Linked DNA regions of Lepisosteus oculatus. The protein of the gene in region 3 purifies or fractionates together with the protein of the main gene of each other region. This does not show direct contact. Links are inferred from orthologs where the notes say so. Each region holds a gene or a part of one and is shown on either strand. Other genes may lie near its edges.

Region 1 (8,056 bases), on a different chromosome or scaffold from region 3:
CAACACAGTCTGTCCAGTACGGGCTGGACAGGAAGAGACAGACAGAGGAGTGGAGAGGGTATCGCCCATGTCCAGTCAAAAGCTACAGAGAGAGACAGAGGGGAATATACTTATTGCAGTATCAGACCCATCACAAATTCCAGAGACACAGACAGACAACACACACAGAGACTTTAACAGCTCCTGTCCACAGACAGACAACACACACAGAGACTTTAACAGCTGCTGTCCACAGACAGACAACACACACAGAGAGATTAACAGTTCCTGTCCACAGACAGACAACACACAAGAGACTTTAACAGCTCCTGTCCACAGACAGACCACACACACAGAGACTTTAACAGCTCCTGTCCACAGACAGACAACACACACAGAGACTTTAACAGCTCCTGTCCACAGACAGACCACACACACAGAGACTTTAACAGCTCCTGTCCACAGACAGACCACACACACAGAGACTTTAACAGCTCCTGTCCACAGACAGACAACAGACACAGAGACTTTTAACAGAGTGACACGCTCCAGAGATTGAGAGAGATAAACGGACAGAGGCAAACATCGTGAGAAGGAATCAAGGTTAAGACTTTGCCAGAAACTACATCTCCCAGAAAGCACTGGGGGGGATGGTGGGGGCAGCCACCCTCCGCCACCTGACCAATTGGGAGGCGGGCCACTGGTCAGGTGACAGTGGAAAACCAGGAAGCGGAGGCGGCGGTGGCTGATACGCAGGAGAGGGCTGTTGTCTGGGCAGAGAGGCAGGTGGAATGGACCCGAGAGGGGGACCCAGGGATCTCGGGACTGGACTGGACTGGACTGGACTGGACTGGACTGGACTGGAGAGGCGGATCCGGTACCTGCCCGGTGACGGGCTCCAGCTGCTGCAGGGTGGCCAGCACGAACACGGCCGTCTTCCCCATCCCGGACTTGGCCTGGCACAGCACGTCCATTCCCAGGATGGCCTGCGGGATGCACTCGTGCTGAACTAGGGGGGGGACAGGGAGAGGGGGGAGTCAGGAAGACAGAAATACAGACTCGCTAATGGAACAGAGCACAGCATAGACACTGCGCTGGACACTGCTGTCTGGACACGGCCCTGGGACCCGCTGTCTGGACACGGCGCTGGGACCCGCTGTCTGGACAGTGTGCTGAGCCCTGATATCTGGACACCGTGCTGAGCCCTGATATCTGGACACTGCTGTCTGGACACCACACTGAGCCCTGATATCTGGACACCACACTGAGCCCTGATATCTGGACACTGCTGTCTGGACACCACACTGAGCCCTGATATCTGGACACTGCTGTCTGGACACCACACTGAGCCCTGATATCTGGACACTGCTGTCTGGACACCACACTGAGCCCTGACAGTGACAGTGGCCGTGTCTCTGTGAGAGTGGCCGTGTCTCTGTGAGAGTGTATGTGAGATAGGGTGTGTCTGTGTGAGGGTGTCTCTGTGAGAGTGGCTGTGTCTCTGTGTCCCTGTCTTACCTTCAGACGGGTGCTCGAACCCGCAGTCCACGATGGCCCTCAGGAGCTCCGGTTTCAGCAGGAAGTCCCGAAAGCCCGAGCTGTGGATGGACACGTAGGAGCCCTTCACCTCCTTCTTGACGGGGAGCAGGTCAGCCCCGTCTCCCCCACCTCCACCTGCCTCCACCTCGTCATCCTCATAGTCCAGGAGCTCGTTATCAACATCGTTCTCAGCCATGGTATTACCTAGAGGGAGAGAGAGGGGCTAATACACCCTGACTGGACACTCCAGTACACTAACACTGCACTGAGAGAGAGAGGGGTTCATACAGACACACTGACTGGACACTCCAGGACATGAACACTGCACTGAGAGAGAGAGGGGTTCATACACACACACTGACTGGACACTCCAGTACATGAACACTGCACTGAGAGAGAGAGGGGTTCATACAGACACACTGACTGGACACTCCAGTACATGAACACTGCACTGAGAGAGAGAGGGGTTCATACAGACACACTGACTGGACACTCCAGTACATGAACACTGCACTGAGAGAGAGAGGGGTTCACACAGACACACTGACTGGACACAGCAGTTCCCTAAACACGTCTGGTTAGTGATCCCCACAGGAACAGACTGCCATTTTTCACACAGGAGTGTTCACAGCTGTGCGTGGCGGAACAAGGAACCTTAACAGAGTGTCTCGCCACCCTGTTACTCATTTAGACGAGAACATATGATCTTTTAAATGCAGACGTGGATCCGCACTCGTTCAGGACCTGCAGTCTCTGAATCCAGCAGTCCCACTGAAGGCGGTGTTTTTGCGGTCACACACGCACGAAGATCTGTACAATAGTACCGCCAACCTCACCGTGCTGTGGAGGGGACATCTTGTCCCGGGACAAACGGGCTCCGACAACAACCAGCCCGTCGGTCCCTTTCGACCGATCGAGCAGCACGACTGACAATTTCCAGATCCGTGTTTTTTTTTTTTAAACTAGCGGATGTAAAACCGCGCCGGACGTGAGCGAGATCGGGGCTACACGGGGGATCACCCCCCCAACTCCCACTCCCACGGACACGCGAAAGCTCACGGGACGGGCTCAAGCCGTGTCTCCGGACCGGACCGGACCGGACCGCGGGCACCCCGAGTGGGTGTAGGGGCGTTAGGAAATCCGATTTTTTCCCGTCTGTTCGAGGTTTTTTTTGTGTGTGTGTGTGTAAAACTACAATGGCCCAGTGCGGGTTTTTTTTTTTGTTCTTTCAAAAAGACGGGCCCAGTCGCGCCACCCAGCAAACCGCCCTCACGCGAAAAACAAAAATTCCCTTCGAGAGAGGAGTCACGCCGACCAGCACGGAGAAGAGGCGGAAGAAAGCGGTTTATGAGGAGAAAAAAACCCGCAAACGGCGCGTTGAGAGGAGGGGGCGGGTGGTGGTTTTTAACCGTGAAATAAAACGCGTTTACCTTCGAATGGTTTCTCCGTCTCTCGCAGCAACGACTTCGGGGCGTTTGGTGACGTCACTCGGGTGCGCCGGCGCCGCGACCCACCGTCCCCCTCCCTCCCGTTTTCCCATGATGCACTACGCGCAGGACTCCCGTCTTTTTCCCCTCACAACCTTTTATTTGTTTTTTTTTTTCCAAACAAAACAGAAAGGGTGTTCACAAATAAAAACGCACAGACACAGAACGGCACGCGGCCAGAGGTGATTATAACCTAGCACACAATCAGTGAACATCTTTACAGACGTGAGGTGTGTTTTTCCGGGTTTTTAATGGAAATAATGTTTCGCTTTCACCATACAAAAACATTGACGGAGGGAGAAGCCTCAGATAATTTTGTTTCTGATTTCTACCCAGACTATTAATAGATTCATGCATAAATGTTCTTATATAGTTCGTATTACTATAAAAAGCACTTAGATACGGACACTATAGAATAACAAAACAAAGACAAAAAGTGTTTTTTAAATGCCGGCGCGCATTGAACGTCACTTCCGTTGCCGGGCTGACGTCATGCGCCCCAGCAGTCCGCAGCCAGGAAGAGCTCTCGACTGTGTTTGTGTTCTGCGGACGACACGTGTCTCGGCGCAACAGCGAGGTGAGGGCGACAGCTACCCGCGACTGACCTCCGATCACGGTAGGGACCCCCTGATATAATGCGGAATAGGCGTTATCTGGGACGGTTACAAGGACTCTTAACTCGGCGGATGGTTGTTCTTAAAGACCAAGTTGGAACGGCGCCTACAAATAGCGAGTAAGAGACCGGGTCTGACGACCTACAGGATCAGTGACCACAGCCTGGACACAGACACTGGTCACAGGCAGACCTGGCTGTCCAGAGAGGACAGGCTCAGTGACCACAGCCTGGATACACACACTGGACACAGGCAGACCTGGCTGTTCAGAGAGGACAGGCTCAGAGTGACCACAGCCTGGACACAGACACTGGATACAGGCAGACCTGGCTGTCCAGAGAGGACAGGCTCAGTGCCCACAGCCTGGATACAGACACTGGACACAGGCAGACCCGGCTGTTCAGAGAGGACAGGCTCAGAGTGACCACAGCCTGGACACAGACACTGGACACAGACAGACCTGGCTGTCCAGAGAGGACAGGCTCAGAGTGACCACAGCCTGGACACACACACTGGACACAGGCAGACCTGGCTGTCCAGAGAGGACAGGCTCAGAGTGACCACAGCCTGGACACACACACTGGACACAGGCAAACCCAGCTGTCCAGAGAGGACAGGCTCAGTGACCACAGTCTGGTTGTAAATTTTAAAGAGGCCAGGTTGTTCTCTGATAGTGGAATTTAGTCTGGGTTTCGAGAACGGGGTCGTGGCGGTGCGCGCCGGTCGCCCCGAATTGATCGGTTCCCCTCCGCAGCAATGTCAGCAGACGCCCTGCCCGGCTCCTGTTTCCACGGCGACCCGCTGTTCTGCCCGGAGTGCGGCACCGTGCTGCCCGTCCCCGGCGTGGAGGACGTGGTGAGCTGCCGGCGCTGCGGCTACGACATCGGCGTGAGCGGTCAGTGGCTCAGAGCAATTGATTGATTGATTGATTGATTGATCGATTGATTGATTGATGGATTGCGTTTCCCTGTGGGTGGCGCTGTTTGGCACCAACTAACCTTACCAGACCCCTGGACTGACTGGACCAGAGTCACAGACCCCTGGACTGACTGGACCAGAGGTCACAGACCCCCTGGACTGACTGGACTGGGGACACTGACCCCTGGACTGACTGGACCAGAGACACAGACCCCTGGACTGACTGGACCAGAGGTCACAGACCCCCGGACTGACTGGACCAGAGTCACAGACCCCCGGACTGACTGGACCGGGGACACAGACCCCCGGACTGACTGGACCGGGGACACAGACCCCTGGACTGACTGGACCAGAGACACAGACCCCTGGACTGACTGGACCAGAGGTCACAGACCCCTGGACTGACTGGACCAGAGGTCACAGACCCCCGGACTGACTGGACCAGAGGTCACAGACCCCCGGACTGACTGGACCAGAGTCACAGACCCCTGGACTGACTGGACCAGAGGTCACAGGCCCCTGGACTGACTGGACCGGGGACACAGACCCCTGGACTGACTGGACCAGAGTTACAGACCCCTGGACCGACTGGACCAGGGACACAGACCCCTGGACCGACTGACCCCTGGACTGACTGGACCGGGGACACTGACCCCTGGACTGACTGGACCAGAGTCACAGACCCCTGGACTGACTGGACCAGGGACACTGTCCCCTGGACTGACTGGACCAGGGACACAGACCCCTGGACAGACTGGACCAGAGGACACAGACCCCTGGACCGACTGGACCAGGGACACAGACCCCTGGACTGACTGGACCAGAGTCACAGACCCCTGGACTGACTGGACCAGGGACACTGTCCCCTGGACTGACTGGACCAGGGACACAGACCCCTGGACTGACTGGACCAGGCACACTGACCCCTGCTCCACCTGTGTGAGAGGGGATTTGCCCCAGGAGTGTGCAGGGCTCAGTCCCTCAGGAGTGCCCTCTCTCCCCCTCTGTGCTGCAGAGCTCGCTGACCAGGTGGTCACCTCGTCGGTCGTCTTCAACAGCCTGGAGTCCAGCAGCACCGCCATGATGTCCGAGGAGGAGGGAGAGCTGAAGGGCCCTGTGGTGAGTGTCCTGGGGTCGCTGGTCCCTGACCTCTGACCTGGGGTCAATGGTCACTGGCCCCTGACCTGTGTCCTGGTGTGGCTGATCCTTGACCTGTGTCCTGGGGTCACTGATCCCTGATCTCTGACCTGGGGTCACTGGTCACTGGCCCCTGACCTGTGTCCTGGTGTGGCTGATCCCTGACCTCTGTGATGGGGTCACTGGTCCCTGATCTCTGTCCTGGGGTCACTGATCCTTGACCTGTGTCCTGGGGTCACTGATCCCTGATCTCTGTGATGGGGTCACTGATCCTTGACCTGTGTCCTGGGGTCACTGATCCCTGATCTCTGTGATGGGGTCACTGATCCTTGACCTGTGTCCTGGGGTCACTGATCCCTGATCTCTGTGATGGGGTCACTGGCCCCTGACCTCTGTGATGGGGTCACTGGTCCCTGATCTCTGTGATGGGGTCGCTGGTCCCTGATCTCTGTCCTGGGGTCACTGGCCCCTGACCTCTGTGATGGGGTCACTGGCCCCTGACCTCTGTGATGGGGTCACTGGTCCCTGACTTGTGTCCTGGGGTCACTGGTCCCTGACTTGTGTCCTGGGGTCACTGGTCCCTGACCTCTGTCCTGGGGTCACTGGTCCCTGTCTGCAGTTCTTCTGGGTTCTGAATGGACCAAGATGGACTGACACGCTGGGCCCTGATAGGCTGCCTTGACCCCCCTGGCCCTGCTGAATCCAGGTCCGCACACTGACGGTGGGGGGGGGGTGACCCCTGACCTATGACCCCTGACCCGTGTCTCTGCCCCCAGATTGACCGCAGGTGCTCTCGCTGTGGCCGGGAGGGGATGGTCTACCACACCCGACAGATGAGGTCCGCCGACGAGGGACAGACCGTCTTCTACACCTGCACCCACTGCCGGCAAGTCGATCAGTCACCCGACCAGTCTATCGAGTCGATCAGTCACCCGACCAGTCTATCGAGTCGATCAGTCACCCGACCGGTCTATCGAGTCGATCAGTCACCCGACCGGTCTATCGAGTCGATCAGTCACCCGACCGGTCTATCGAGTCGATCAGTGACTCGATCAGTCTATCGAGTCGATCAGTCACCCGACCAGTCTATCACGTCGATCAGTCACCCGACCGGTCTATCAAGTCGATCAGTGACTCGATCAGTCTATCACGTCGATCAGTGACTCGACCAGTCTATCGAGTCGATCAGTCACCCGATCAGTCTATCCAGTCGATCAGTCACCCGATCAGTCTATCAAGTCGATCAGTCACCCGACCAGTCTATCGAGTCGATCAGTCACCCGACCAGTCTATCGAGTCGATCAGTCACCCGACCGGTCTATCGAGTCGATCAGTCACCCGACCGGTCTATCAAGTCGATCAGTGACTCGATCGGTCTATCACGTCGATCAGTCACCCGACCGGTCTATCGAGTCGATCAGTCACCCGACCGGTCTATCACGTCGATCAGTCACCCGACCAGTCTATCGAGTCGATCAGTCACCCGACCGGTCTATCGAGTCGATCAGTCACCCGACCGGTCTATCGAGTCGATCAGTCACCCGACCGGTCTATCAAGTCGATCAGTGACTCGATCGGTCTATCACGTCGATCAGTCACCCGACCGGTCTATCGAGTCGATCAGTCACCCGACCGGTCTATCGAGTCGATCAGTGACTCGACCGGTCTATCGAGTCGATCAGTGACTCGATCGGTCTATCACGTCGATCAGTCACCCGACCGGTCTATCGAGTCGATCAGTCACCCGACCGGTCTATCGAGTCGATCAGTCACCCGACCGGTCTATCGAGTCGATCAGTCACCCGACCGGTCTATCGAGTCGATCAGTGACTCGACCGGTCTATCAAGTCGATCAGTGACTCGATCGGTCTATCACGTCGATCAGTCACCCGACCGGTCTATCGAGTCGATCAGTCACCCGACCGGTCTATCGAGTCGATCAGTGACTCGACCGGTCTATCGAGTCGATCAGTGACTCGATTAGTCTATCGAGTCAGTCAGTCAATCGGTTGAGGACAGGACAGGAGGCTCTCCTGTACACAGAGGGGGGTGGGGGTGGGGAACAAGCCGCCCAGTCCGTGTGGTTGAAGCCGATACCCTGGCTCCTCTCCAGATACAGCTGGGTGAGCTCCTCCAGTCAGGACAGGAGGCTCTTCTGTACACAGAGGGTGGCGGGGGTGGGGAACAAGCTACCCAGCCCTGTGGTTGAAGCCGATACCCTGGCTTCTCTCCAGACACAGCTGGGTGAGCTCCTCCAGTCAGGTCAGGGGGGCTCTTCTGTACACAGAGGGGGGTGGGGGTGGGGAACAAGCTGCCCAGCTGATACCCCGGCTCCTCTCACACAGACACTGCCCCTGTGTCCGGTCTCACAGTCTTACACAC
Region 2 (7,647 bases), on a different chromosome or scaffold from region 3:
ATGTTCTGGAGTGATTATTTCCAGACAGCGGAGGCAGAAGCCAAGCTAGATGCAAGACTATGTCAGCCGCGGCATCGCCAACAGAACAAGACTGAAACGTTTAAGCCATCGTGCCGCTGGTCCAATTAACACGCCGATGCAACCAGACATTTCAATAATCTTATTTCAAGCCACCAGCAGTGGCGGACGAAGTGAGAATTGAAAGGGGGGTGTAAAAATTTCACAGTGCTCAACACAAACCAGCAACTGCAGGAGCTCACAGGCAAGCACGGGGAAACGAGCATTTACAACCACTTGTGACACTTTTATTGCAGAAACTATGTTCGTCTTAATATGAAACAGGCACACCGTTTAAAAAGCTGGAAAACATTCAAGTTTCCACTGCCAAAGAACCAGAAAATAGTATTCCACGTCTTCAGACCCTGAAAGTTGTTTCTTTTTTTTAAAAAAAAAGAACAAAAAAACGTGGATGGGCATTTGACGAGAGGCTCAATGCTGGTTTCAAGGAGCGGGCAAGCGGGCGTGAGAGACCCCCCCAACTCGCTTAACATCTCCCGTCTGGCGATGGACTGGGCTATTCTCAACCTCCTTCCCAACAAGAGCAACGTCTGATCGCGTCCTGTTCCAAAATATAATTTTGCCACGTTAACGGTTTTCCTCCACCCCCACCCCCCCCAGCTTGGAGCGAAAAAAAAAACTATTTCAGTCTTTTTCAACCCTCTGGACTGTCACCCCCCCACCCTGAAGACATCCATGCCCACCGGGGGTCTCGCCATCCACTTAAAAAAAAAACTAACAGAGGACTTGACGGTGGCGGGGATCAAAATATAACAGCGGGCAAGCGAATAGTCCCGAGCTGAGATGTTGGCAGAAGACTAAACTCGAAACGTGCCAAGGAATGAAGTTACCCCTGCAGAGAGCCTCGCACCCCGACAGAGGGACCTGAAAAGAGCTTTTTTTTTTTTGAAGCACCGTTATCTAAAGCGCCTCTTCCTCCGAGAGACTGACTGTGTGGTTTCTCCCCACCGAGGCCAAGTGAGGCTCGGTCGTTTTAAAGTCATTTATTTGAAACACTGAGGGTGCTGCGGTTACACACACACACAAACAAATATCCAGAAATAAGGCATCGGGGAACCATCTTCCCCGTTAGGAAAGATGCCACCTGGAATTAGGCTGTAAAAGAACATATCGTTGGACCCTAAATCCCGAGGCTGATAACATTTCTTTCTGAAGTTTCCAAACGTGTCATGAGAAATATTTACCGTGCGAGGTCTCGGCACGGGGTTGATAAACTCCTTAAAACCCGTCGACCAAAAAAAAAAAAGCATTTGAGGTAAACCCAGAGCCCAGCGACTGAAATGCGCCGGTTCCGTACATGCAAAACACGCTCAATCGTGTAAACGGCACGACAGCTAAAGCTTGATTTCATCTCTCCACAAAGGGAACAATTAACGCTTCTGCAATCAAGGCGGTCCGGCAATGGAAAAATCCGTTTTTCCCCATTCTGTAACTTTTTCTTTTTAAAGAAAGGGGAGCTTCGCCATTTATCAATTCGCTCATCATATGCAGATCGTGCTTAAAGCTGCGCTACAGTTTAAAAACCTACGTCCCGATTTGCAGCTCAACTCATAAAAAAAAAACCCGAGGTCGCTTCTAAAATATCTTTCTTCTGCTGATGAAAAATAAGTACTCGGGGGTGGGGGGGGGGCGGTTGTACCCCCCCTGCAGAAACGCACATTCATCCCCCCACAGCTAAAACTTCCCATAAATACAAAAGCAGCATCCCAACTTTTCGTGAATTGCAATTTAACCGGCGGACAGGCGTGGCGAGAGAGAAACGCACACACAAGAAGAAGAAGAAGAAGAAGAAAAATAAAACCGCATCAAGATCGGAAAACAAAAGGGACCGAGATGCAGGGACCGTCGGCACCGAGACGCACACTTTCAATACCCGAGGAGCGCAGGCAGGGCGCCATCCTTTCCTGCAACTTGATGCCCCCCTCCCTCCCCGACAGTGCCCTGTTCACACTCCACAAAGCCACGCCGTGGGAAAACACGCTCTCCTCTCCTCGCCTTTCACCCCCCCGAGAAACGAGTCAAAAACGACTCGTTTTTATTGTTTTTTTTACATTTTACGGCGGCGGCTTCACCGGGGAGCTGCTCGGCCGGCCGGCCGGCCCGGGGCTCGTCGTCACCACGCCGCCGGCAGACACCCGAGACGAATGCCGACCCGATCGGGTTACCGGCTTTAAATTAAAATTTAAAAGCGAGAATCAAAGAACACCAACGCCGCCCGACTATGTTAAACACCATTAAAAAAAAAACGTTGTGTCGTTTTTTTTAATTAAAAACCCAACAAGTACCCGGCCGTGTGCGAGAGGGGTGAGCGAAACCCTTTGTCTCACAGACACTCTTCCCCACGACGTGCGCTCTTCCCCCCGCCAACTTCAGAAACATTTACGCTTTTCATTTTCACCGTCACAAGCAGCAGCAGGAGAAGAAGAAAAGCCCCCCTTCTCGTCGGCTTTTGGCAGCTCGGCGCCCCGTTTATTCCTTAACACACACACACAAAAACCACCAACAACAACGAAAAGTTTCCAGAGCGGCTCGATTTACCTGTGGACACCAGTTTCATGGCGTGAGTGAAGGAGGAATCCAGACTGTCCTTCTCCGCCAGCAACTCGGGGAGATATTTGCTTTCGTTCTCCATTTTGTTTACTATTGTGTCTGCTGCGTTTACAGTCTTGGGGAGGAGGAGGAGGAATAAAAATAGGATTAAAAAATGCGTTTGCAGCAGCGGGGGGGAAAAGCTCCTAGCGGCCTCGTAATCTTCTGCAGGTCTGGCTGAGATCGGGCCCAAGTGTGTGCCGAGCCTCCCGGTCGTGTCGGTTAGCAACCTCGTAATGGCTCCCTCCCTCTCTTTCTCTCCTTCTTAGCTCCCTACGAATGGAAAGCGATTGAGAACACACACACACAAAAAATCCTGCGACCGAGGGGGAAAATAGCAAGCCGAGAGGAAGTGAGCTCACTAAATTCATTCAAAATGGTCGGGCTCTCCCTCCCCCTTTGAAAAAAAAACAACAACCTCCGACCGCTGTAATTTTTAAAGGCGCAGCCGGCCCGCTGTTCTTAAATGAATTTGGCGTCGATAAAAATGTGTTGTGGTTGGGGTTTTTTTTTCCCCCCTCACTGTTGGTTGGAGATCACGCCGTGCCCCTCTCTGTACATTTACGTAAAACCGAGGTAACGCGACATGTGTCGATTTTTTTTTATTTTTAACGACATTAAAGTACTTTTTCCGAAATCTGGGTGGTGTGCTTCTGTCGTTTCTGCTCTGATAGTAACAAAGGGGAACACGAAGGCATTACAGGTTAACAACTTCGTCGATAAAATGTTGCCAAACAAACCTGCAGATTTGTTTTCTTTTTTTTAACTCTGAGGGATATTTCTAGGATCTCCTATTTGACCACAGAAATGTCTAAAAAGAAATACTATGCCGTGTGGTTCAGTCGGTTAAACAGCACGGTGGAGCATTGCTTTACTACATCGTCTCATCACTGATTTTCTCAGCTCCGGCAAACATGGGTTAACTTTTATGGACAATGGGTTTAATTGTTCTTTATTCATTTTTCGGAATGCTTTACACTGTGTGTCCGGAAGGTGGAGCTTTTTTACTCTCTATAGGAAAATACTGTGAAGTGTGTGCGAGGCGTTCGTTGATCGCCCGCAAATCGTGAACCTCCGACCTGTGTATCAGGAGATGGATGATGCTGGGGTGGGCCTGATCAGTGCTGTTGTAAGCGGTGTTGGTGGACCAGTAGGTGGCACTCTTCCCTCTGGGCCAGAATTTATAACCCGGTGCCCCAGTATGGCGATAAGAGACAATTTGCTACTCTGTAGGAGGTGCCGTTCTACGGATTAAATGTTAGATCGCGATCCTGACTGCTTGGTCGTTTAAAATTGCCATGGCGCTGTTAGTGTGCTTGTACGATCTGACCTCCCCAGAGTTCCCTCCTTACTTCAACTGGGGAAGCAAATTCTCACCCCTCCCCTCCCACTGATCTGTGGGCTGCTGCGCGTCACCCTGGTGGGGGCGCACTTCAGTACTGGACGATGTGGGGCCCCTCCTGTAGGGAAAGCACCCTTGGGGTGAAAGGCACTCGTGCGGATGCAAGGAAATATTATTATTAAAACTAATTATTAAAATTTCCTAAAATTATTTATGCGGGGGAGCATGGCAGTGCTCTCTCCAGTCTCCAAAGCTCTCTGGTCTGGTGTTCGAGTACAACATAGAGCACATTCTGCATGCTCTCCCTCTGGCCTCTGTCTCCAGCTCACCTTGGCCCTGTATAGGCCTACGTGGTCCGATAATAACTCTTTATAATAATAAAGATGGACGGATGACCGATATCTGTGAGGAACTGATGTATATAAAATGTAACACATCGGAACTCCACTTCTCTGAACTGAAAATATATAGTTATATAGTTCCTACAGGAATGTCAGTTGTGCTAGAAAAAGCACTTTGTTTACCTTTGGCTAAATGTGTCTAATGCATTTAATCTGGTTTTTATTTTCTTACAATATCCTAGGTGCAGTTTGGAATTATGGGCCCATGATAAGTCCCCCTGTCAATCTGCTGAAATGCAAATGAAAACATGGTGTATATCAAGACAATGTTCCCAGAGCTTAAGAGAACAAGTGTTTTGTCAATAAAATACTAATAACACTAAGCGGGAGTCTGGGCTCCCTCTCACACAGAGAATTAAAAATTCACATAAGGGAATGGGAGAAACAAAAACCTAAATCAAAACCTTTCAGGCTGGCGTCTTGTTTATGCGCCAGACCAATCCCCCCAAAATTAACTCTTTCAGCCTCCTCCAGCCCAGACTTCCCGAGTACAATTTTTTATTCCTTCACCACAAAATACCCAGTGTTGTGGTAGCGGTATATTTTCCTTGAAGGGATGGGTTGTGTGAGACTATCATTTTAAACTGTCAGACTGGCAGTTTAAGTTTAGAAACCAGTCCCACCCGGTCCCAGTTCTGTCCTGTTTTTGTCTAACGCCTTGTTTCTGAAATTAAACAAGCCCATTGTAGTCCACCCAGTCTGCCACCACCCAAAACAGAGATGCCTTAAATGCCAAGGAGACTTGTTTTCTGCAAAACATGGCTGCAATGCACACGACCCAGGCAGAGTTTCAGTAAAACAAATATAGTTCATTAAAATATTGAAGATATGCAACCATTGGCTATTAGCGGTGTTTCTTTTGGTTGATTTTATATCTTACCCCCCTAAGCACATAAGTGATGTATGATGGTAAGTGACAAATGATTATTTTAATGTTTCATTAATCTCATTTGTAATTACAATTGAAAAAAAAAACATATACCTCTTTTTTGTTTCATCTTTACTGTAGCATAAAGCAACACTGGCTCACAATGGACATCCTCTGTTAACCTATGCAGTTGGACAACAGATTCTGTGCAATCAGGAACAAAACAGACAAGATAAAGAGCACAACTGATCTTCTGATATGGGAAAGCAAATGGATCATAGTCCAATAACTAGACTCATTATTGCAGTGCCAGACATGACCACTGGAGACATACCCAGCCCCTGAATACTGAACATCTGAATTGGTCTCTAATTTTGTTTTATTTCTCCAGGCTATAACTATAAAAGAGAACCCCCTTCATGTTAGTACAGTGTAAAATACCACAAAGTGACTTTATTTTCTGACATATATTCCATAGTACTAAAATGTCAGAACTTCTTTCATTCACGTTACTGAATGTTTCCTTTGCTTTGTCACAAACCATACAGCACACCTATTCTCTAGTAGAGCAGGTGTGAGGCTGTCTACAGTCCCTCATTGTTAATTGGGCTGACTGGTGTGACTTCTGCTGTCTTGCAAGTGCGAACACCTTCGCAAACGTCTTGGAAGCCTCTGAGACTTCCAAGAGCAAGCCTGAACGAGTGTGATGACTGCTGCCTACACAAAAGAGCCATGCCCATTGTTCACTTTTGTTTGCTCTTGTAAGGCCCCAGAGGCAGGAGTTAACAACTCCTCTGTAAATTGCTAGAGTTTCTAATTCTGCCCAGCTCCTCTCCCCATTCATATTCACCCCATTCATGAGTTTTGCAAGATCAGGCAAAAATGAAAACTACATACTTTGCAAGCTTAATCAAACTGATTGATTACCTGGCTTCTTAACCTGAAGCACACATTGGCAGCCCATGATGTTGGAGGTGAAAGTACAGAAACAGAAGAGCTTTGCAAAAGTATCAAGAGACGAGAGTTAATGTATTATTTATCATAGGTCAGGCATTCAACTTGCTCCATTCATCCTTGAGAAGGATGTGCAGACTGAAGCAAAATGTTGACAAGCTGGCTCTTCCAGGCAACATTGCTGCTCGTAAGGAGGGTTTATCTGAATGATGAGAGTGTGGAAATGTAAGAGGGACTAAACAAGTCAGATTTAAATACAAATCATCAATTTGGTCAGTAGTTTATCGACAGGGGCAGCAGCAAGATTCTTCACTGAGATTGTGCCAGTAGAATTATTAGCTGTAGAGGTGGGGACTAATGCAAGTCACTTGGGCGGACACGTCAGCCACAGACCAAAAGTAATGAGCGTTTTCACTGTGCGATAAACAGGGTTTTTGTCGGCCAGATAGCAAGGCGAAAGCTATAAGAAACATTGCTGTGCTGAAAACATTGTTTGCACCGTGACTTGGGCTGTATAACTTTTCAGCTTTTAAGGTACTAAAGCATTGTGATGAACAGAATTTACATCATCTCAACCCCCCCCCCCCGAGGCACGGGCAAGGGGATTTGATCTAATCCTCTCCACGGGGACCTAATTCAATTCAGCGCTTTAAAACAACGGATTGAGTTCGCGCGTCATGCGATGGAAATGCAGACGTCTCTAAGAGATGAGTGAAAATTCTTTGACCAAAATGAGAATCTGATTCAGGCAGAAGTAACCCTATCCTTGTCTAATCCTCCCTATTCACTGTCTTCATTTGTTATCAATTCTTTTTGTTCTGTGTGGTTTGTGTTGGGAACACCGCTTGTGCGAAGGAAGTCTGACACTGTCTCGACACACAGAACTACTGCAGATCAGGAAAAGCAGTCATAATCATTTTTTATCTATGCTGAAACATTCGGTTTAGGAAAAATATTAGCATGGAATTTGGTAAAGTGCTAATGCAAATCCTAGGTGTTCAATTATGTAAGATCATATGAAATAAAAGTGAGACTTTTTAAGATGACAAGATATTTGCTGGTGTTAACACCTGTGCTCTTAGGAATGGTCATGGGATCTTTAATGGGCAAGAAGACATGCAAAGTATCTTCTCAAAGCTGACACTTCCCACTGCACAGTTAACACATACTGTACACTATACTGGAACATTCTGGTTTGTAAATTCTGGTCCAGAGGAAAGGGTGCCACCTACTGGTTCTTCTGCACTAATTAAAAGCTCCAGCAATCTGGTTAATCCTTGGGGACCTCCCATCCCCTTACTGGTCAGATCCAGCCTTGCTGGACCATAGAAACCCGAAGAGGTCAGGCTACTGGTGTTAACTCTGGTTTTTACATGGGTGGTAAAGCTGCTGGTTATCTTTCAAAACTGTGGTGC
Region 3 (7,670 bases):
ACCCCCTCCCTTTCCTCTTCGCTCCTGGGTTTTACGACGAACCTTTTCCACAGACCCCCTTAAGGGCCACATGTGCATCCTCCCGGCTTCTGCCTCCTTGTTCCTTCCTCGCTCCCGCTGTAGTGATTTCGACATGTGGCCCTCTCCCTGCTCGTGCTCGGTGTTGTCCCAGCGGTCGCCTGTAGCTCAGGGCCCAATGGTTCTGACTGGAGCCTCTGGAGTTCAAATCAGAGTTTCCTGTGTCGCTTTATTAACATTTTGAATTGAAGTAAGAGACAAGATGTGAAAAGGGTTAACTTCTGCCTGAAAATTAGACTTGTAAGCAACAGGGGTTTATGGCAGGAAAGGGGGTTAACTGATAAGGATTCCAGATGCGAGCAAGGAACCCCCTGGGGGCATAATCTTAAACTGACCATTTGGCCAGGGTCTCTTAACTGGCCAAATACCATGACCCCCCTTACCATAACATCGAATAACATCTGAAGCAGCAAGCAAGGACTATATAACCTAAAAGTTTGTACCGGCACATCGAACAATACTTCGGTTTTGTTGTTTCTTGCGGGAAACAAGACTTCGGCTTTATTGTTCCTTGCATGCAATAAACTCATCTGTTTTACTTCATCTCGGGATCCAGAACCTTATTCTTTCTGTTACAACAGAATCATGTATGCATTTCGATTTTTATGCGTGTGTCAAGCGGGACTGGGGATTGGGCGGGGGGGTCCCCCTCAAAGCACAGGGCCCTGGGCGGCCACATACCCCCCCCCACCCCGAGCCGGCCCTGGCTGTGAGGCAGAAATATTAACCACTATGTAACCGTGCCCACCTGAAAAACTGCGCCTAACTCTAGTTCCAGATATAGATCTGGACTCTCGGACAGACCGCTCCCCAGACGCGTGCCGCGGGAGAGGTGGCCAGTCCGTGCCCGTGCCGGTCTGACGACGGGCGGGGGGCAGTGAGGTGCACTTCCCGATGTCTTCCAGGTGGGGGCGCGGCTTCGGCCTGGTTGAGCTGGTGGTGGGGGTCGACAGCCTGGCGAATCAGCCCAACAGTGTCTTCGGGGTCATCTTCTACGTGCTGCAGCTGGTCCTGGGTACGAGACTCCCCCCGTCCCTGTCTGTGTGTGTCTCAGTCTGCTCGTGTGAGCTCTCTCTCTCTCTGCTCTGTGACGGTGTGTGAACCCCACGTCCTCCATCTCTCTCTCTCTCTCAATTCAATTCAATTCCAGGTGCTTTATTAGCATGACTGATGGGTACAATCAGTGTTGCCAAAGCAAATAAAACTAATAAAATTAACATGGAACAAAACAAAAAATAGAAGTAAAATAAAACCTACAGACATGTTACAGACATTTACAACTCTCTCTCTCTCTCTCTCTCTCTCTCTCTCTCTCTCTGTAATTGAGTGTATCAGTGTGCTGCAATAGTAGTCTTCCTCTGTGTCTGCAGGTCAGTCGCTGTCCAGCAGGGCGGCGCTGTTGCTGGTGCTGACCTCCTGGCTGTCTGTGGCTGGCTCCCTCTACCTGGCCTGTATCCTGGTGTTCGTGCTGTGGGATTTCTGCATGGTGTGTGTCAGCACCTACCTGCTCAACTTCACCCTGATGTACGTCAACCTGCGCAGACAGAGAGCACTGAGAGCTGACAAGGCCAAACGGAGCTGAGAGAGAGGAGCTGTACATGAACACTCACACTGACACACACACCATACTGACACATTTACACACTCACACACTGACTGAGACACCCATACTGACACACTCACACTGACACATTCACACACTGAGACACACACACTGACTGACACCCATACTGACACACTCACACACACACTGATTTACACACATACACACTCACACACACTGACTGACACACTCAAACACTGAGACACACACACTGACTGACACACACACACAGACTGACACTCACGAAAGAACATGGGAACACAGGACGAGTCACAAACGCAGGAGTCATCCAGCCTGTTTGTTAGTTAAGAGCTAATTAATCCCAGAATCTTTCCGAGTTGTGTCTGGGTATCAGCTGCAACAACCCAGCTGGGCAGCTTTTTCCACTCTCCCACCACCCTCTATGTACAGAAGTGCCTCCTGTCCTGACTGGAGCATCTCTTCCAGCTGTACCTTGAGAGAACCCGGGGTATCAGCTGCAACAACCCAGCTGGGCAGCCTGTTCCACACCCCCACCCCTCTCTGTGTAAAGAAGTGCCTCCTGCTCTCAATTCTAAATGCTGCTTCCTATAGTTTCCTTTCGTGTGCTCTGTTTTATATGCCACTGCTTATTCTCAAAACCTGTTACATTCAGCCACGAGCTCCCACAGATCGGAGACCTGTTCAACAGGTGGCTGATCGATAACTGTGACTGGGGAGTGTTACAGGATACCATCAGTGTTACTTTTTTTTTTATTCTGGCAAAACCCCAAATAAATCTTCTTCAAGTACCTTTGATGTGCCTCTCTGCTGATTTTCGTTCTGAAAGAAGGATTTTACTCTGCGCAGTGAGACAGAGGAGGGAAATCTAAATCACACACACACACTCCCGTCTCCCGTTGGGGGTTCTGTGAAAGTGGGGGGTCTCCACTATTCTCTGGTCTGCGTGCTGTCTGCTCAGAGGCACACGGACCGCGTTCTGAGCGATGGACTGCGGGGCGAAAACACTGGTGGGGTTTTACAACTTCTCCTGACAAAAGAGGGGGTGATCAAGGAAATTGGAAGAGCTCGGGCGCAGAGCGTCTCAGTTCTCTAACTCTGTAGTTCTCAGTCCTGATCCGGGAGAAACACTGTCTCCTGGTCTTCACTCCAGCCTGGGCTCTTAATGACTTTATCTCAGACGATCTCAGTCCTGATCCAGGAGGAACACTGTGTCTCCTGGTCTTCGCTCCAGCCTGGGCTCTTAATGACTTTATCTCAGAGGATCTCAGTCCTGATCCAGGAGGAACACTGTGTCTCCTGGTCTTCACTCCAGCATTCCTTAAGTTATGTGCAGACGAGTTGGCCACAGTTTTTATGGATATTTTTAATCTTTTACTTTTAAAGTCCCCTGTTCCAGTGTGTTTTAAGAAAAAAAAACCACCATTGTACGTGTGTTGAATAAATATATTGCAACTTTGAATGATTACAGACCGGTAGCGCTCACATCTACCAAAATGAAATGCTTTGAAAGGCTGGTGATGAGCCACATTGACATCATGATACCGGAGTGCTTAGACCCCCTGCAGTTTGCACGCCTGTGTAACAGGTCCACTGATGATGCTATTTCCCTGGCTCCTCACACTGCCCTGGCTCATTTGGAAAACAAAGGCACACGTCAGACTGCTACTCATTGATTACAGCTCCGCCTTTAACACTATCGTTCCATCCAGACTGGTCACCAAGCTTAATGATCTGAGTATCAGCTCTGTTGTCTGATCCGGGTGTCTCTCTGCAGCTGGAGTCTGGATTCCTGACTGGCAGACCACAGACTGTGAGGGACGATGGAAAGCTATCTTCCCCGCTGACCGCTGATATAGGTGTCCCTCAGGGGTGCTTGGTCCCCTGCTGCTCTCCTTGTTTACCCACGACTGTGAGGGCCAGACGCAGCTCCAGGGCGGACACACAATTTCAACCCCGGTTGGCCCAGCTGTGAGTGTGTGTGTCTGTTACTCGCGCGTGTGAGTAGGTGAACCACCACCAGGAAAGAGCACAGAGAGGTGACCCACACGGAGGCAGTGAGAACATGCAGACTCCACCCTGACAGCGCCCCAGGGATTGAACCCGGCACCCCCAGCACTGCGCCCCTGTGCCGCCTGACTTTCATTCAATGGTTTCCAGTCCCGATCCTAGAGGACCACTAATTGAATTCAGTTCCCTATTTGGGGAATATTGTTAGGTTTCCCATCAGCTCCTGAAAGGATTTGGGATTGGGTGTCAATGCTGTACCAGTTGGAGATGAAAAACGACCCTCATTCAGACAAAGACGCGGTTCCAGCCCTTAAATATTTACACATCGCATATGACAATATTCACACATTACATTTTCACCGCTTTCTTTTCTTAGGTGATGTATGTATCAGAAACCGGGTCAGATGAGGATAACTGGGGTGAGATATTTAATAGAATGAGGATGCAGTGTAATCCTGTTCTGTTGCAGTGCAGAGAGACGAAGAGTTTACAGCCGCGGTGCCCTGTTACAACACACCTCCAACCCAGAGCCGATACGAAGCATCGCAAAACCCCATGTTAATCTCTTAATGAGAGGCGGATTAAGGGAGACCGGCGCTATTGTACAAAAACGTGAGGGGGTTTCTGGCACCCTCTGCTTCGTTTCAGTAAATGTATAAAAAGAGACAAACTTTAAAAAAAAGTGAATTGTTGTTCTCAGACGGGAATACGAACAGCAGGGACATCTTTTTTTCTGGTGACGGGAGGGGGGGGGACTGTTCGATTCGGGTAGTTTCCCAACTGCACCGCCTCCTCCCCCCAGGCATTCAAGGCAAGTGGTCTCGTCCAGCCGCAGGTTTTAAAAGTCTCCGCGCGGCGGCCCGGTGACGCAGTTTGTCCTCAGTGTCGAGCTGCGGAGCTGTGTCGTCTTCGGCGCCTTCGAAGTTTCTTTTTATTTCTTTCTCTTCTTCCCTCCCCCGCACCCCCCACCCCATCGGCTTTCTTTATTTCCCGTATTTATTTTCTTCGGAAGCAGTTTGTGCGTTTGAGGGAAGAAAAGCGCGGGCGAAAGAGTCGCGGAGCACAAAGACAACCCGACCACCATGGCGTCCAACGGTAAGAAAATAAAAACACAAATTTCTTACTTTTTTTTCTTTAGAAAATACCATCGTTTTATTTGTTTTTTAAAAAGTGGCCTTCGCCGCCTGCTGTGCGAACTCGTGGCCGTTAACCCGCCTGCGGGAAAGAGGCGGTTAGCCTGTGGGTCTAATTCATTTCAAACCTCCGCTGTCCGCGCCGGAGTGAAACAAGCGGCTTCTCCGGTTCTCTGCTGTGTGTAAGTGAAAAGTCTCGACGTCTGAATTTGAAGACGCTGCCGGGGTCGTGGCTCCGGGGAGAGAAACGCGTAAAAATCACACAGTTCGGGGTTTGAACGTGTGGGTTTCTCCTCGCGTCAGGGGCTCCGCTCGCCCCGGCCTCCCGGCTCTGTGTCGTTCTGGTTGTGCGCTTTTTTTGTTGTTGCTGAAATCGGGTCCGTTTCCGGCCGGCTGGCTGGGCTGGCGGCGGCGGCTGTTTTCCCTCCCGAGAGAAGGGGGAGAGGCGAGACAAAAGCGGGGCTGTCGCCTCTCCGCGGCCGCCGCCATCTTGCCTCCCCCTTTTGTGCGCGAGCTGGCGCGGGGTGTCGCGCCCTCTGGTGCGCCTCGCGCCCCCGGGAACGAAGTGTCCGGGCCGCCGAGGTGTGATTTTGGGGGGCCCCGGGGTTGAGGGAGCCCCCCGGATTTGCTGTGGGGGAGCAGGTGTGTGTGTGTGTAGGGGAGTGGGGGCGGGGCGGAACCGGCCATGCCGCGCGGAGCGGCGCCTCCATCCGGGTCATCCCGCTCAAGATGGAGCCGCCGACTTCCGCTTCCGGCCGGTGTGGAGATCGGGAGAGGGGCGGGAGCTGATCGCCGCGCTGCTGCCCCGGCTTCTCAGGCCGCTCGTTACCCCCCCGGTGACGACACGAATTCATTGGCGTTGTGTAAGGAAGAAAAATGGAGGAGTTCCGAATTAAATCACGAATTTAAATGAATTAAATTTAATTAAATCAATTAAATCGAGAGTTCGTGTGAATTGCGCTGGAGAGGCGGCGGCCCTTCCTGCTCACTAGCCACCTCGATGACGAGGGTGATGGAAGAGCAAATCAGCACAGGCTTGCGCAGCAGACGATTCACTACTGGGATGTTCCAAAGTGATCCTTGTGCAGCGTTAACAAGTAGTATTTGTCGCCAAAACCATCTCAAAGTCGAGAGCGATATTGCAGTAATATCCAGTCAACGATGTTTCTGTTGGCTTAAAATGGGCGTTTACCAGCACGCGTGTTTACAATGTAATTAGGCTGCTTCACGTCGTTGGGTGCCCCCCCCTCACTCGTTCTAAATCACAGACTTGGAAATGGTCTATTTTGTGATATAATTGCAGGTTTTACACGTTGTGCCTTTTACTTTTAACGTGGTTTGAAATGTACTCATTGCGAATTCTTTCTAACCCCAAAATAAAAAAAGTTGCAGTTCTGCTTTAATACGTATGCTGAAAAGCAGCTGCAAGTGAGAATAGTTTAATCAGCACATCTAGTCTGTTTGGTCGTGTGTGCTCATCTGAGTGAATTGTGCATCACCCAGCTGTGTCAAGAGGGGAGTCAGCGTATTGGTCTCAACAACAGGGCTGGGCAGCTTGTTCCCCTCTCCCACCACCCTCTCTGTACAGAAGAGCCTCCTATCCAGGCTGGAGTTGATCACCCAGTTGTGTCAAGAGGGGAGTCAGAGTATCGGTCTCAACAACAGGGCTGGGCAGCTTGTTCCCCTCTCCCATCATGCCTTTTCAAAATTGATCATGCAGCACCCCTACACTGCCGAGCAACCGGGGGTATAGTCACTGAACTCCATTCAGACCACCTGGGTTCAAGCGCAGTACAACTAAGTTCTCTTATATTCCTGCAGCCATTGACCTGCTTCGTGTGCTCGATGGATTGTATTTTATTTTTCATGACTGTCCCCCCCCTTCACAAACGTACGGTTTGCTGCTACGAATCATGCGAATTGTCACGCGCGTTTTGAGTGGCAAAGGCCACTTTCAAAGCTACGAAGACGTGATGCAAAGAAACATTTCGAAACCTCAGGCAGGTCGGGGGAGGGAGGAGGCAGGCGACTGGTTTGGTATCGGGTGCTGGCACCGTCGGGCTCCACTGCCGGGTCTGGCGTGGGTGGGAGTGAGGACACTGCGGCTTCGCCTGCTCGCTCCTGTGTGCTCCTGCTTCCCCCGGGCCCTGGAGGGGCGAGGAAAGGGCCACTGTGTGTCGCTACTCACAAAGCAAGTGAAGTGGTCATTCTGAGGTCTAACGAGATAAGCAGTGGATTTCATCAGATAAAAAGTAAACCACAAAAAAAGTTTGTCCTTGGTGTTTCTTGTCATTTTTGGTGAAAATGGTTGAAGGGGGACTTTCTTGGGGGTCTGGAACAGCTTGTTTTTCTTTGTAAGAGATGTTGGAATGGGTTTTTCTTTGTATGAGTTGTCACTTTGCAAAAAGGTTTCTGGGAACGAATTACGTTCGTGAAAAGAGGTCCAGGTCTCTTTTTTTCCTCATCATACTCGCACGTCTGGGTGACTGCTTCATGCTGTGAATTTTGTCCTTCATCTGCCTGTAAAACGCGTTTCGCACCTGGCACAGTGCAAGTGTCGCCAAGTGACTGACCCCCCGTTTCTCTTTGTTTTTCCAGATTACTCCCAGACTGCGCCCCAGGGGTGAGTGACTCTGTGTTTCTACTGTAACTGTGCCAGCCTGCAGCTGATTAACGTGTTTTATACAGTGACTTAAAAAATGATTTATCCAAGTTTTACAATAAGAGGAATGGAGCTAAAAGGAAGAACAGCCAGGGTTAAGAATGTAGTGGATCATGGGTCGGCAATTCGTTTTTTTTGCAGACCCCAGCTTGTTCTCCGTGAGACACGGGCTCACAGACAGGGAGAGAAGCTGGGGGTCAGAGCG

Evidence for each region. The genes of interacting proteins can lie anywhere in the genome.
Region 1: the proteins of fus (region 3) and ddx39b purify together in Homo sapiens (affinity purification with mass spectrometry; 3 studies listed by BioGRID and IntAct, with this or other methods). This does not show direct contact. The link is inferred for Lepisosteus oculatus from reciprocal best matches to the Homo sapiens genes FUS and DDX39B.
Region 2: the proteins of fus (region 3) and khdrbs1b purify together in Homo sapiens (affinity purification with mass spectrometry; 3 studies listed by BioGRID and IntAct, with this or other methods). This does not show direct contact. The link is inferred for Lepisosteus oculatus from reciprocal best matches to the Homo sapiens genes FUS and KHDRBS1.

The regions. Positions count from the first base shown.
Region 1 is NC_090709.1:41,005,701-41,013,756, reverse strand, and holds the start of ddx39b (DEAD (Asp-Glu-Ala-Asp) box polypeptide 39B), read right to left. Parts: upstream 3,053-8,056; 5' UTR 2,949-3,052; intron 1,723-2,948; 5' UTR 1,715-1,722; coding exon 1,498-1,714; intron 989-1,497; coding exon 861-988; intron 1-860. Other genes in the region: polr1h (DNA-directed RNA polymerase I subunit RPA12), read left to right, coding at 3,453-3,621, 4,374-4,514, 5,553-5,656, 6,451-6,560. UniProt on the Homo sapiens protein: Involved in nuclear export of spliced and unspliced mRNA. Component of the TREX complex which is thought to couple mRNA transcription, processing and nuclear export, and specifically associates with spliced mRNA and not with unspliced pre-mRNA.
Region 2 is NC_090706.1:3,047,089-3,054,735, reverse strand, and holds the start of khdrbs1b (KH domain-containing, RNA-binding, signal transduction-associated protein 1), read right to left. Parts: upstream 3,053-7,647; 5' UTR 2,711-3,052; coding exon 2,617-2,710; intron 1-2,616. UniProt on the Homo sapiens protein: Recruited and tyrosine phosphorylated by several receptor systems, for example the T-cell, leptin and insulin receptors. Once phosphorylated, functions as an adapter protein in signal transduction cascades by binding to SH2 and SH3 domain-containing proteins.
Region 3 is NC_090699.1:5,217,356-5,225,025, reverse strand, and holds the start of fus (RNA-binding protein FUS), read left to right. Parts: upstream 1-4,651; 5' UTR 4,652-4,752; coding exon 4,753-4,765; intron 4,766-7,401; coding exon 7,402-7,426; intron 7,427-7,670. Other genes in the region: vkorc1 (vitamin K epoxide reductase complex subunit 1), read left to right, coding at 984-1,093, 1,449-1,660. UniProt on the Homo sapiens protein: DNA/RNA-binding protein that plays a role in various cellular processes such as transcription regulation, RNA splicing, RNA transport, DNA repair and damage response. Binds to ssRNA containing the consensus sequence 5'-AGGUAA-3'.